2 linked regions of the Drosophila melanogaster genome follow. The protein of the gene in region 1 interacts with the protein of each later gene in a pairwise test. Each region holds a gene or a part of one and is shown in the gene's direction. Other genes may lie near its edges.

The links.
Region 2: the proteins of kek3 (region 1) and feo interact in a two-hybrid assay, tested with the Drosophila melanogaster proteins (one large-scale study listed by BioGRID).

What each region holds. Positions count from the first base shown.
Region 1 is NT_033779.5:15,550,612-15,555,748, forward strand, and holds the start of kek3 (kekkon 3), read left to right. Parts: upstream 1-2,111; 5' UTR 2,112-2,198; exon of another isoform or gene 2,199-2,262; intron 2,263-3,898; 5' UTR 3,899-4,419; intron 4,420-5,137. Other genes in the region: CG15256 (uncharacterized protein), read left to right, coding at 1-18, 170-427, 486-510.
Region 2 is NC_004354.4:10,851,941-10,857,129, reverse strand, and holds feo (fascetto), read left to right. Parts: upstream 1-2,260; 5' UTR 2,261-2,525; coding exon 2,526-4,541; 3' UTR 4,542-4,684; downstream 4,685-5,189. Other genes in the region: sofe (sister of feo), read left to right, coding at 1-1,682.

The sequences.
Region 1 (5,137 bases):
GTCGTTCAACATGGATGAGTGAGTGGAAAATTATGCTGTTTAGGGATATAAAGGGTATATTGGGAAAATGCGAGCAGCTTGAGGTCTTTTGTTTCGATACCCAATCACACCTATATATTGGGATTGTGGATTACTGTGTGATCTTTCACCTTACTTTACTTTTCCGCAGTCCCCGTTACGGCATTTCCCTAATCGAGGACAACATGGAACCGCCCATGTTGTCGAGCTACACAAGGCAATACTCCCAGCCGTATCCAAATCGTTGTAAGCCCTTTGTTCAAAAGACGGAAACACCAGATCCCATATTCAATCGAAGGCCGAAAAACGATTTTGAGTTTACCACAGGACTGGATTTTAAGTTTCTTGATGATCACATGCACAATCTTTCCGAATCACGCAAGAAAGTCAACTTCTTCCGGCAACTGAGGTAAGAAAAATAATCTTAATTTTAATTTATAATATTAAAAATTTCTCGTGATACACAGGAATCAATCATTTCTTCTGTATTGACATGGTTAACAATTTTTCGAGCTAAAATTACAAAACAAAAACTATTAATTTGTAACAATTTGACTCCATCATCGGCAAAGTTACGCAACGTGGCTCCTATTTTAAGAGCTTTCAGTTGTGCCATGATTATAAATTACCCCTCATTATGTTCCGGGAAAAATGTGTCAATTGCATTTTCCATTACCCCTTCGTTTTCGATAGAAATCAATTAATTTTGCATAAATAAACTCGATTGGCAGCGTGGTCAGGGGAGAGCCATGTGCTTGACTATTATTAGGTTATAGCCGGTACACTTTTCTTGGAAAAATAGCAAGCAAATTGCAATTAATAATGCAAAAGGCAGCAAGCCAAGTCCGATACTCGGCCATTGCTGCGATATTCGCCGCGGGCACTGGCATTGCTGCCAATTTGCATAAATGCTAGAAGAGCTCTCCCGTTGGCCAGTGGGACGTCGGGCAGGAGGGTGGTGTCAAACTAATGGCAGTCTATGACAGGGATCTGATTTATTATGCACGGTAATTAGTTTGGCCTCCTTAGTGTCCGAATGGAAGCCAATAAACCAGGCTGACATGCCGCTGCATTGATTTTGCCCCGAGGAAAGCGCGCATAAGCGATGGATTTCCTTCTACCGTCCAGCACCGCAAGCATCGCCCCAATGGAGTGGCCAAAACATAACAATCTCCGGCAGACAGGAGTATGAAAGTCGGTATGAATGTTCCGAGGTGTCAGCCTGCGGGGAAAGGAGCTGAGCGGACTGTTGCCTGGGCATTGTGACTCCACAAGGCATGCAGAGGACACGTTGTCCTTGCGCTGAAGCTGTTCATCAGAATCCTTGTAGTGAACTTTTGTGTTTTTTTTTTGTGATTTGGAAAATAAAACAGAGGGCATGCAATTTTTTATGTTTCCCGAAAACTAAATCTTATAGTGAAATCATTTTTAAATCATTTAAGAATAATATAAGAATGCATGTTGTACCTATTAAATTTAAATTCTCAATTCATTCTTAAATAGCTTGAACCATTTCAAGCAATAGAGGATATATGGTAAATCAAACTACGATAATATTCCCATGAAAGAAGGTCCATCTATGCTTAGCTCAATAATCTGAAAATCTGCAGGTAACTGGTTTGACAGTAGAGTGACTGGGTTGAGTGAAAATCAACCCGTGTTCTTATAAAAATCAGTTTTCTACGACAGTAAGTGAATTGGTCTTATCATCGGTTTTGGCGCAAACAAAAACCAGCTTGCTTGCTTGACATTTTGGCACATTCCTGCCAGACGCCTGCCCACATTCGTCAGCCCGAAGGACAAGTCAGCTGGCAAGGATATATGGAGCGGGGCAGCAGTCTGGAGGCCGATAAAACCTGTCCCCCACCGAACACCACTGATAAGAGCCAACATTCACCATAGCACATGGGTCCTTTCACCAACGAGTAATGCAGAAAGCCACCACACTCCAATCACCAACAAAAGCCGGCTCTCTCATGTGCGACTGCGTTGCTCTCTCTCGGGTTATCCTTCGGCTCTGATAAGACCCTGCTTCGGGCGATGGCCGAGGCCCAGTTCGGGTCACCTGCTGGCGTAGCTCGTTGCCCAAAGTCAGTTTACTCGGGAGCGCGGCGGAGTTCGTTTAGCAGCGGGCCAACGGTGCGGATACTTGACTTGGGCCAGAGCTGCCAACTGAATGTGTGAGGTGCCAGTGACCACGAGGACGAGTGCTAATCTCGACAATCGGGCTGTGTTATTTAGCAGGCAAGCGGCTGTTCTACCGCAGATCAAAAGTTTCAAAACACCCAAATGTGTCAAGCAAAGACGGCTCAAACAGAAATAAAAAAAAAATAAATAAATAAATAAAAATACATATATGAAACCCAGTCAGAGCAGAGCTGATGTGTGCGAGTGCATGTGTAATTAATTTTTGGCATTTAAATTGGCCGACACCGGGGCTTTAAATCAATTTGACAAATTTGCATTTTTCTGGGCGCAAAAAAGGGAAGCCCGAGCAAGGGCAATTTCATTTACAAATTACAAATTGATGTGGCGCCCGTGGAAGGGCCCGAAAAACAGCAGCAATCAAGGGTCGTCAAAGGGGGATTGAGGATGAAGGACAACGAGGGAGGCCTGCCAAATGTCCTTACGGCGTTTCCTTGATTCCGTTTTCGAAATCGTTTGTCTGATAGGCAGCAACGTGTTTGGCTCGGAGGATTAAGTGGATTACGGGGGTCGTCTTAAGGATTAGTTCTTGGAAATGTTCGGGCTATCAATCGACGGGTATCCTTGTGGAGTCAACTTTTAAACCAGCACCAAGCCCCGACTTTTAATACTAAATAAGTGGATCCAATAAGACGTCGATATATTTGTTTTCCTCATATCGTATAGCAATACAAGAAGAGACAATTATGTTTAAATGGGTTTGAATAAGTTTTTAAATGTGTATAATTATGTTTTTATTAATATGTCATTTCATTTGTTTATTTTTTTTTTTTTGTTTTCACGACACCTTCTTAATGGCCTTATTATAAAGACTGAAATCATTATTTCCCTTTTCATTCTTTAAATATCTTAAAATTCATGTAACCTCTGTAACTTCTTCATTGCCTTGGAGGAATTAATGTTATACGACAACTTGCCGACATTAAAAATTTCATAACTGATTAAAATACTTTAACTTTCATATTCAAACCCATTTCTTTTTTTACTTGCTTTATGTGGTGCGAAGAAATCTCGCATTTACACTACAACGAAGAAAGCTGAGAAGAGGAAAATGGAAAATCGGGGAAAGCTGAGTGGCAGCAAGGAGTAATAATAATAATAGGAACAAAATAAAAGGAATGAGCCAAAGAAAAATGTCTGAAACGTGCCTCGTATGCAAATATTTGCAAAACGCAGACTAATAAGTGGAAGAAAAGACAGGCGACAAAAGCGGCCGGGGACAATGGGCCATGCCAGGAATGAGACTCTCGACGAATGTCTAGGTGTCAATGTGCCGGGGGCAAGTTTTGTACCCCCCTTCTTAAAAAAAAAAATCCCCCAGGTTGTTTGGTGCATATGAAAAATACGCCACTTTTTTCATAAATTAAAGAATCATTTCTCCCCCATTTATAACAATAACAGAAGTCTGTCGACAACCTCGACACTCCTAAAAAATTCTCATGTGCTCTCGCCCTCAAATGGGAAAAATGAAATAAATTTCATTGCATAATTCATGGGGCATCGGGGAGCAGGGGCAAGACAGCCGCTTGCCATTTTGTATGGTCATAAATCTTTTGGCATATGGGCTGCCATTTCGCATCATCATCAGCAGCGAGAAAGAAATGTGAAATCCGTAAAAAGCACACATGGAAAATATTTAAAAAATTAAATTTTTATTGTTCTTCCTCATCGTTAGCCAAATACCCATAAACAATTCATCAAAAAGGGAGCAAGCAAACGAAAATAAACAACAGATATTGTTTACAATTGCCTAAAATGGCAAGAGACAACCAAATAAAATAGTTTGCAAATTCATTCCATGACAAGTGTCTAAAACAATAAGCACAAAACGTTTTATAACTCCCTCTCTCTCTATCTCAAAATACAAACAATGAACGGCAACGGCACCAACACCAAGTGCAGCAGCAGCAGCAACAACACGGCGGCAACATCAACATCGTCAGCAGCAGCAGGTTCAGTCAGTCGGTCATCAACGAAAACAACAATGCTGGCTACAACTATGTTCTATGGCTAATACAAAAGCTACAAACAACAAATCGCCAACAACAACTAAGCCAAAAGTTCGCCAAAGCATTTGATGCTAAAAAAACAACAAGAAAACCTACACAAACAGCAGCGCAGCAGCCACATCAACATTGGCAACACTTTTACGAGTTGCAAACTACCTTGTACAACGAATTTTTATTATTGCACAAGGTAAGCCCTGGCCTTTTGCTACATTTTATTTAGAGTTCACTGTAGGGGGCGGCAAATTGATGTCCTTGGTCACCTTTTGCTGGCAAATCGAGCAGCAAAATTTAATAGTAGATGCTCCATTTTTCAGGGGTTGACAGAACCTGACCTATCGCAATTTCAGATGAGTTGACCGTGCACAGAACTTTGTTCTTTTCTGCAAACAGTTTGTCAGGAGGAGAGGGGCGGAATACCTACAACCAAAATTACAATAAAGTAAAATGAATCATTTAAAAAAATAGATTTTTATTTGCGAGAGCAGTTTTTGGGTGAGAAATATATAAAATTATTCAAATATTAGGGATAGTTTTCTTATTGGTTGCTTTCAAGACCTGAATAAATAATGCCCACAATTAACTATGACATATGGTCTTCGTTTGCTAAGCTGTGGGAAAAAGTTCCTTACTGTCTACCATTTCCAAGAGAAAACTGATAGTTAATAATTAAAGTATGTGCCCTCAAAAACCATAATCCAAAGGCCAACCCTGACTTGCCAACCTCCTTATAATGTGACCCAAAACTTGTGGCCAAGGAAAGTGCTTTCACCGCACTTTATATATTGGCCGAGGCAATTCACTCGCTCGCAGCTCAATTAGCCCCCTTATCAGGCAGTCTGTAGTTGGGATCCGGGCAAATCCCCGTAATTAAATGCAAGCCACATGCTTGGCTGACTAACCCACAT
Region 2 (5,189 bases), on another chromosome or scaffold:
TCTACACGGATCTCCGCAAGGAGACGAGCGACAAGGAGCAGGGTATACTCAACGACATAGCCGTTTTGCGCAACGAGGCCAGCGGGCTAAGGCGGCTGCTTCACAAAGCGGTGGACATTGGCGAGCGGCCGGACGATGTGCCGATGGAGATCTGGTACATTAAGCTGGAGAAATACATCGAACAACTGCGCAAAGAGCTGGTCAGCCGACGGGCAGAGATCAGGGAGCTACTCCATCAACAGCAGCAGCTCTGCGATGAGCTGGGCGAACAGCCGCTTTCACTTCTAGCTGATCCCCTGCCGCTGCCCGAGGAGATGGACCCCTTTCGGGAGCACCTAGCCCAGCTGCGCGATCAGCGAGTGCAGCGCCTCAGGGATATGGACGAGCTGCGCCAGAACATCAAACGAAACATAAAACTACTCGAACTTCAATTGCGAACGGACTCGGAAAAGCGGTTACTCAATGCGGATAACCATAAGCTTACTCCCTACGCCTACGTGCGCCTGCAAGAAATGGACAAAGAGTTCGCCGACCAGGTGCAGGATCTAATCGACCGCATCGACGAGATGCGCGGCAAGATTGAATGCCTCTGGCAGCGGCTCAGGATGACCGACGAATACGCCATGCGTCGTGTGCGCGAAGCCACGTCCTATAACCAGTGCACCTACGACATATTGCGCGAGGAGCTGGAGCGCTGCCAGGCGATGCGGCAGCAGAATCTGATTGCCTTCATCGAGCAGCTGCGCATTGAGATCAACGAGTGGTGGGATCTTTCACTGAAAAGCACCGAGGAGCGCAGGCGCTTCACCACCTACTACTGTGATACGCAGACCGAAGATGTTCTCGAGCAGTTCGAGAAGGAGCTGGACAACCTTAAGGAGTTCTACAACAGCAACAGGAAGATATTTGAGCTATACGCGAATCGAGGCGAGCTATGGACGCGCATGGAGGCCCTGGAGGCCAAGGCCAACGATCCAAATCGGTTCAACAATCGCGGTGGACAGCTGCTCAAGGAGGAGAAGGAGCGCAAGACTATCATGTCCCGTCTGCCCAAGATCGATCAACAAATCACCGAACTGGTGCAGGTCTACATGAGTGAAACGCACACGCCGTTCCTGGTGCACGGCGTGGATATACTGGAGCGCATGTCGGCGGACTGGGAGCGGCATCGACAGTCCAAAAAGCAGCCCTCCGCCCAGAAGAAGGATGGCAGCAATACGAGCGGCCAAATGAAGCCGCCAATGGTGCCTCTTACGCCCAATACGCAGAAGAGCAACCGGGGCATCCATGGATCCACATCCTCGTTGAAGAAGACGCCGACCAAGGCAAATGCCAGCACCACGGCAATGAGCACAGGGAATCTGCACAAGAGACGGCATCCACAGCATCACAACACCAATAGTCCACAGCCGGCAGCAGCGGCCAAGCGAAATCTAATCGCATCGCTGGAGTGCAACAATGCAAGTCGCAAGGTCTGTGTGAATGGGCAGAAGCTGCTCAAGTCGCCGCAGAGGAAGGTGCGCGTGCTGGAATACTCGGTGCGTCGGGGCAAGGGATCCGGCAGGCCGAGCACAGGGAGCAGGAATCCCCAGAAAATTCGTCCCATACCAAAAATCCATGTGCGTCCGCCGTCCGGCGAGGAGAACGAGAGTCCCGACGAGGAGGCGGTCGTGGCCATATAATGGAGCTAGACTCTAATCACATCCAATGGCAATCATTTCGGCAACTGATCTGTGTTCTATATCTATTACCTGTACTGAAGTATTTGGCTCGCAATTGCAGACTCATCGTATTTATATGTATACACATATGTATAGTGTTAGGGCTTTTCCTAGCGCAAAGACTATCTAAATTTACAACTTTAAAATTCTTTTAACTATTTTGCACTACCTGTGACGGCAAGAAGTAAATGAACAATTGTCCACATTTTAAATTTTTAGTCAGATAAAAACGCTTGTTTACATTATAAATTACTTGATTTCAATTTTACCAAAATATACATGTGTGGGAAGGGTTTTCTAAAGTCTGTGGGATGTTTACTAAGCGCATATAAGAGAATATAATACGTTTTTAAGGAGCAAAATAATTAAAATAGATATTTTAATTTGCTAATAAACCAAATAACGAATTTTAAATATTCAAAAAAGTGGCGTATGCTCCAGCCCTGGTTTTACCAGAAGTTACCGCCGCGTGGCAATGCTGTCCCACAACGCGGTGGCAACACTCTTGGCCGCCATTTCAATTTGAATTTACCGAAATTTCTGTCTAGCGTCATCGATTCATTCAGTTCGAAATTTCGTGCAGTGATGCACTCTAAATAAACCACTAAATAAATCCGCACATTCCCGAGCAATCCTGCCCAGCGTTGTGGGTCTGCGACACAACTGTCAAGTTAACTCAGATATGCTGGTTAAATAGTCCCCAAGTGAACACAACGAAAAAACAAAGCCAGTGAGCATTTACGCAAGAAAAGAAATTTTGAACAAAAAAAAAAAAACACAAATTTCACAACGAAAACGGAGAAAATGAACTCGCCGAGCGCCATTGCGGTGAAGGCCCAGATCCTGGAGATGACGGGCGAGCACGTGGATCAGTTGCACGCGATGTGGTCGCAGTTGTTCGAGGTCAAGACCTGCGGTGAGTTCCTCCTCCGGTTGAAGGACCATGCGAACAGCTTCTTCACGGATTTGCTCAATGAGTCGCGCGAAAAGCAGCAGGCGATCCTCAACGATATAGCCGCCTTGCGGGCAGAGGCCACCGACTTGACGCGCCTACTCCACGAGCCGCTGGACATTGGCGAGCGGCCGGAGTCCATGCCGCTGGTCGTCTGGGAGCTGAAGCTGGACAAAAGCATCGAGCACTTACGCGATCAGCTGGCCAGGCGGCGAGCGGAGATCTGTGAGCTTCTGCTGCAGCAGGAGCAGCTGTGCGAGGAACTGGGAGAGCTGCCTCTGCCACTGTTGGCGGATCCACTGCCGCTGCCCGAGGAGATGGACGCCTTTCGGAATCGCCTGGGCCAGCTACGCGATCAGCGAGTGCTGCGCCTCAAAGAGATGGACCAGCTGCGCCAGGCCATTAAGCACGACATGAAGCTGCTTGAGTGCCTGCCCCAGACGGACACCGAGGAGCGTCTGCTCAACCAGGTGGATCACTGCCTAACGCCGGAGACCTTCGAGCTCCTGCGCAACATGCAAAAGAACTTCGCCGACCAGGTGAAGGAGCTGAGGGAGCGCATCGACGATATGCGCGAAAAGATCCATGTGCTGTGGGACAGACTCCAGGAGACAGACGAGTATGCCATGCGTCGCGTGCGCGAGGCTACGACCTACACTCAACGCACCTACGATGTCCTGCGGGAGGAACTGCAGCGCTGCCAGGCCCTGCGACGCCAGAATCTGAAAACCTTCATCGAGCAGCTACGCATCGAGATCAAGGAGATGTGGGATCTCACACTTAAGAGCCAGCAGGAGCGCAAGCGCTTCTCGAACTACTACAACGACTGGTACAACGAAGATCTGCTGGAGCTCCACGAACTTGAGCTGGACGACCTCAAGACCTTCTACAACAAGAACAAGGAGATCTTCGATCTGTACGAAAGCCGTGCCGAACTCTGGTCGCGCATGGAGGCGCTGGAGGCCAAGGCGAGCGAGCCGAATCGCTTCAACAATCGTGGCGGCCAGTTGCTCAAGGAGGAGAAGGAGCGCAAGGCCATCACCTCCAAGCTGCCCAAGATTGAGCAGCAGATCACGGAACTGGTGCAGGCATACGAGGCGCAGGAGAACACACCCTTTCTGGTGCACGGCGAGAACATCCTGGAGCGGATGGCCGCCGATTGGGAGCGTCATCGCCAGGCCAAACAGCAGAGCTCGGCGCGCAAGAAGGCACCGCCATCGGCCAGCAAGATAATGCCACCGCCGGCAACGGGCTCGACAGCTCCACGCACGCCGCGCACGCTGCGCAACATGTCGACCCTTTCCAGCTCCACCATGTCGCTGCGCAAGACGCCGTCGCAGCAGCACCTCCGTCCACTAAACATCACCAAGAGTACGGGCAATCTGCACAAGCGCCTGAATCCGTCCGGCCTGCAGACGGGCCCCAAAACGCCCAACGCCAAGCGCAGCCTTATGAACACACTCAACTCGATGAAGGCGTCGCCAGCCAAGCACCTGCTCGCGCCCAGCCAGCAGCATAACCAGCTGAAGAGCACCAAGTCGCCGCTGAAACGTGTTCGCGTACTGGACAACACACTGCGACGCAGCGGCGGTATGGGCAGGCGCAGCATTGGAACGCGTTCCAGCAAGAAGGCGCGCACCAAGTCCAACGATCAGAACGCCCCACCCGACAGCAGTGACTACACAACGGACGAGAATCCCGAGCAGGGTGTCAGCTATGACGAATTTCAGCCGACCAGTCGCTCCTCGATGCTGCCGCGCCAGCGTCATCAATTGGCCGTGCCGCGAACTCGTCGTGCGGAAATGAATGCCAATCTGCCGGTGCCGCGGGAAAGCCTGATGATCGTGCAGCCGCGCAGACAGTTCTAGTTCCACTGGAGATTGACTAGCTTAACGCGTACCTACTACACTATTTCATAACAGTTGGAGTTTCTTGATGTATTTTAATTTTTTATTTTCTGTTTTACGTTTTCAGAATAAAATTTATGTGAGTTTTTTCGCTTGACCACAAGACTCGAGTGTATTTCACATTTCTTTCAGCATAATTCGTGTGTAAATTTCAGGAATTGGTTGTACATTTGTTAATAATTTTTTGCTAGTTTTCCACCAAAAAGAAATAGCTGTACATTTCGATGTTTTACTATGCTTTCACGATTTATTTGATCATCAACTAAATTTGTTAATTGTTAGAGGGATGGGGAGCTATTTGCACTTTAATTTTAATATACTAATATACAACTAAATTTGTCAATTGTTAGAGGGAGGGGGTGCTATTTGGACTTCAATTTTAATATACTAATATACAATTCAATTTGTCAATTGTTTGAGGGAGGGGGAGCTATGTGCAATTTAATTTTAATATACTAATATACAATCGCACTGATGCAAGCTTTATAAAAAGATTCCAACCGCCTACACTGTAGTAGAGCAGTTCTTATTTGACTATTAAATACATATTAACACATTAAAATGGGCGGCACGTGTGGTGCCTGCGCCAGTGATGAACCCTTCAATTGG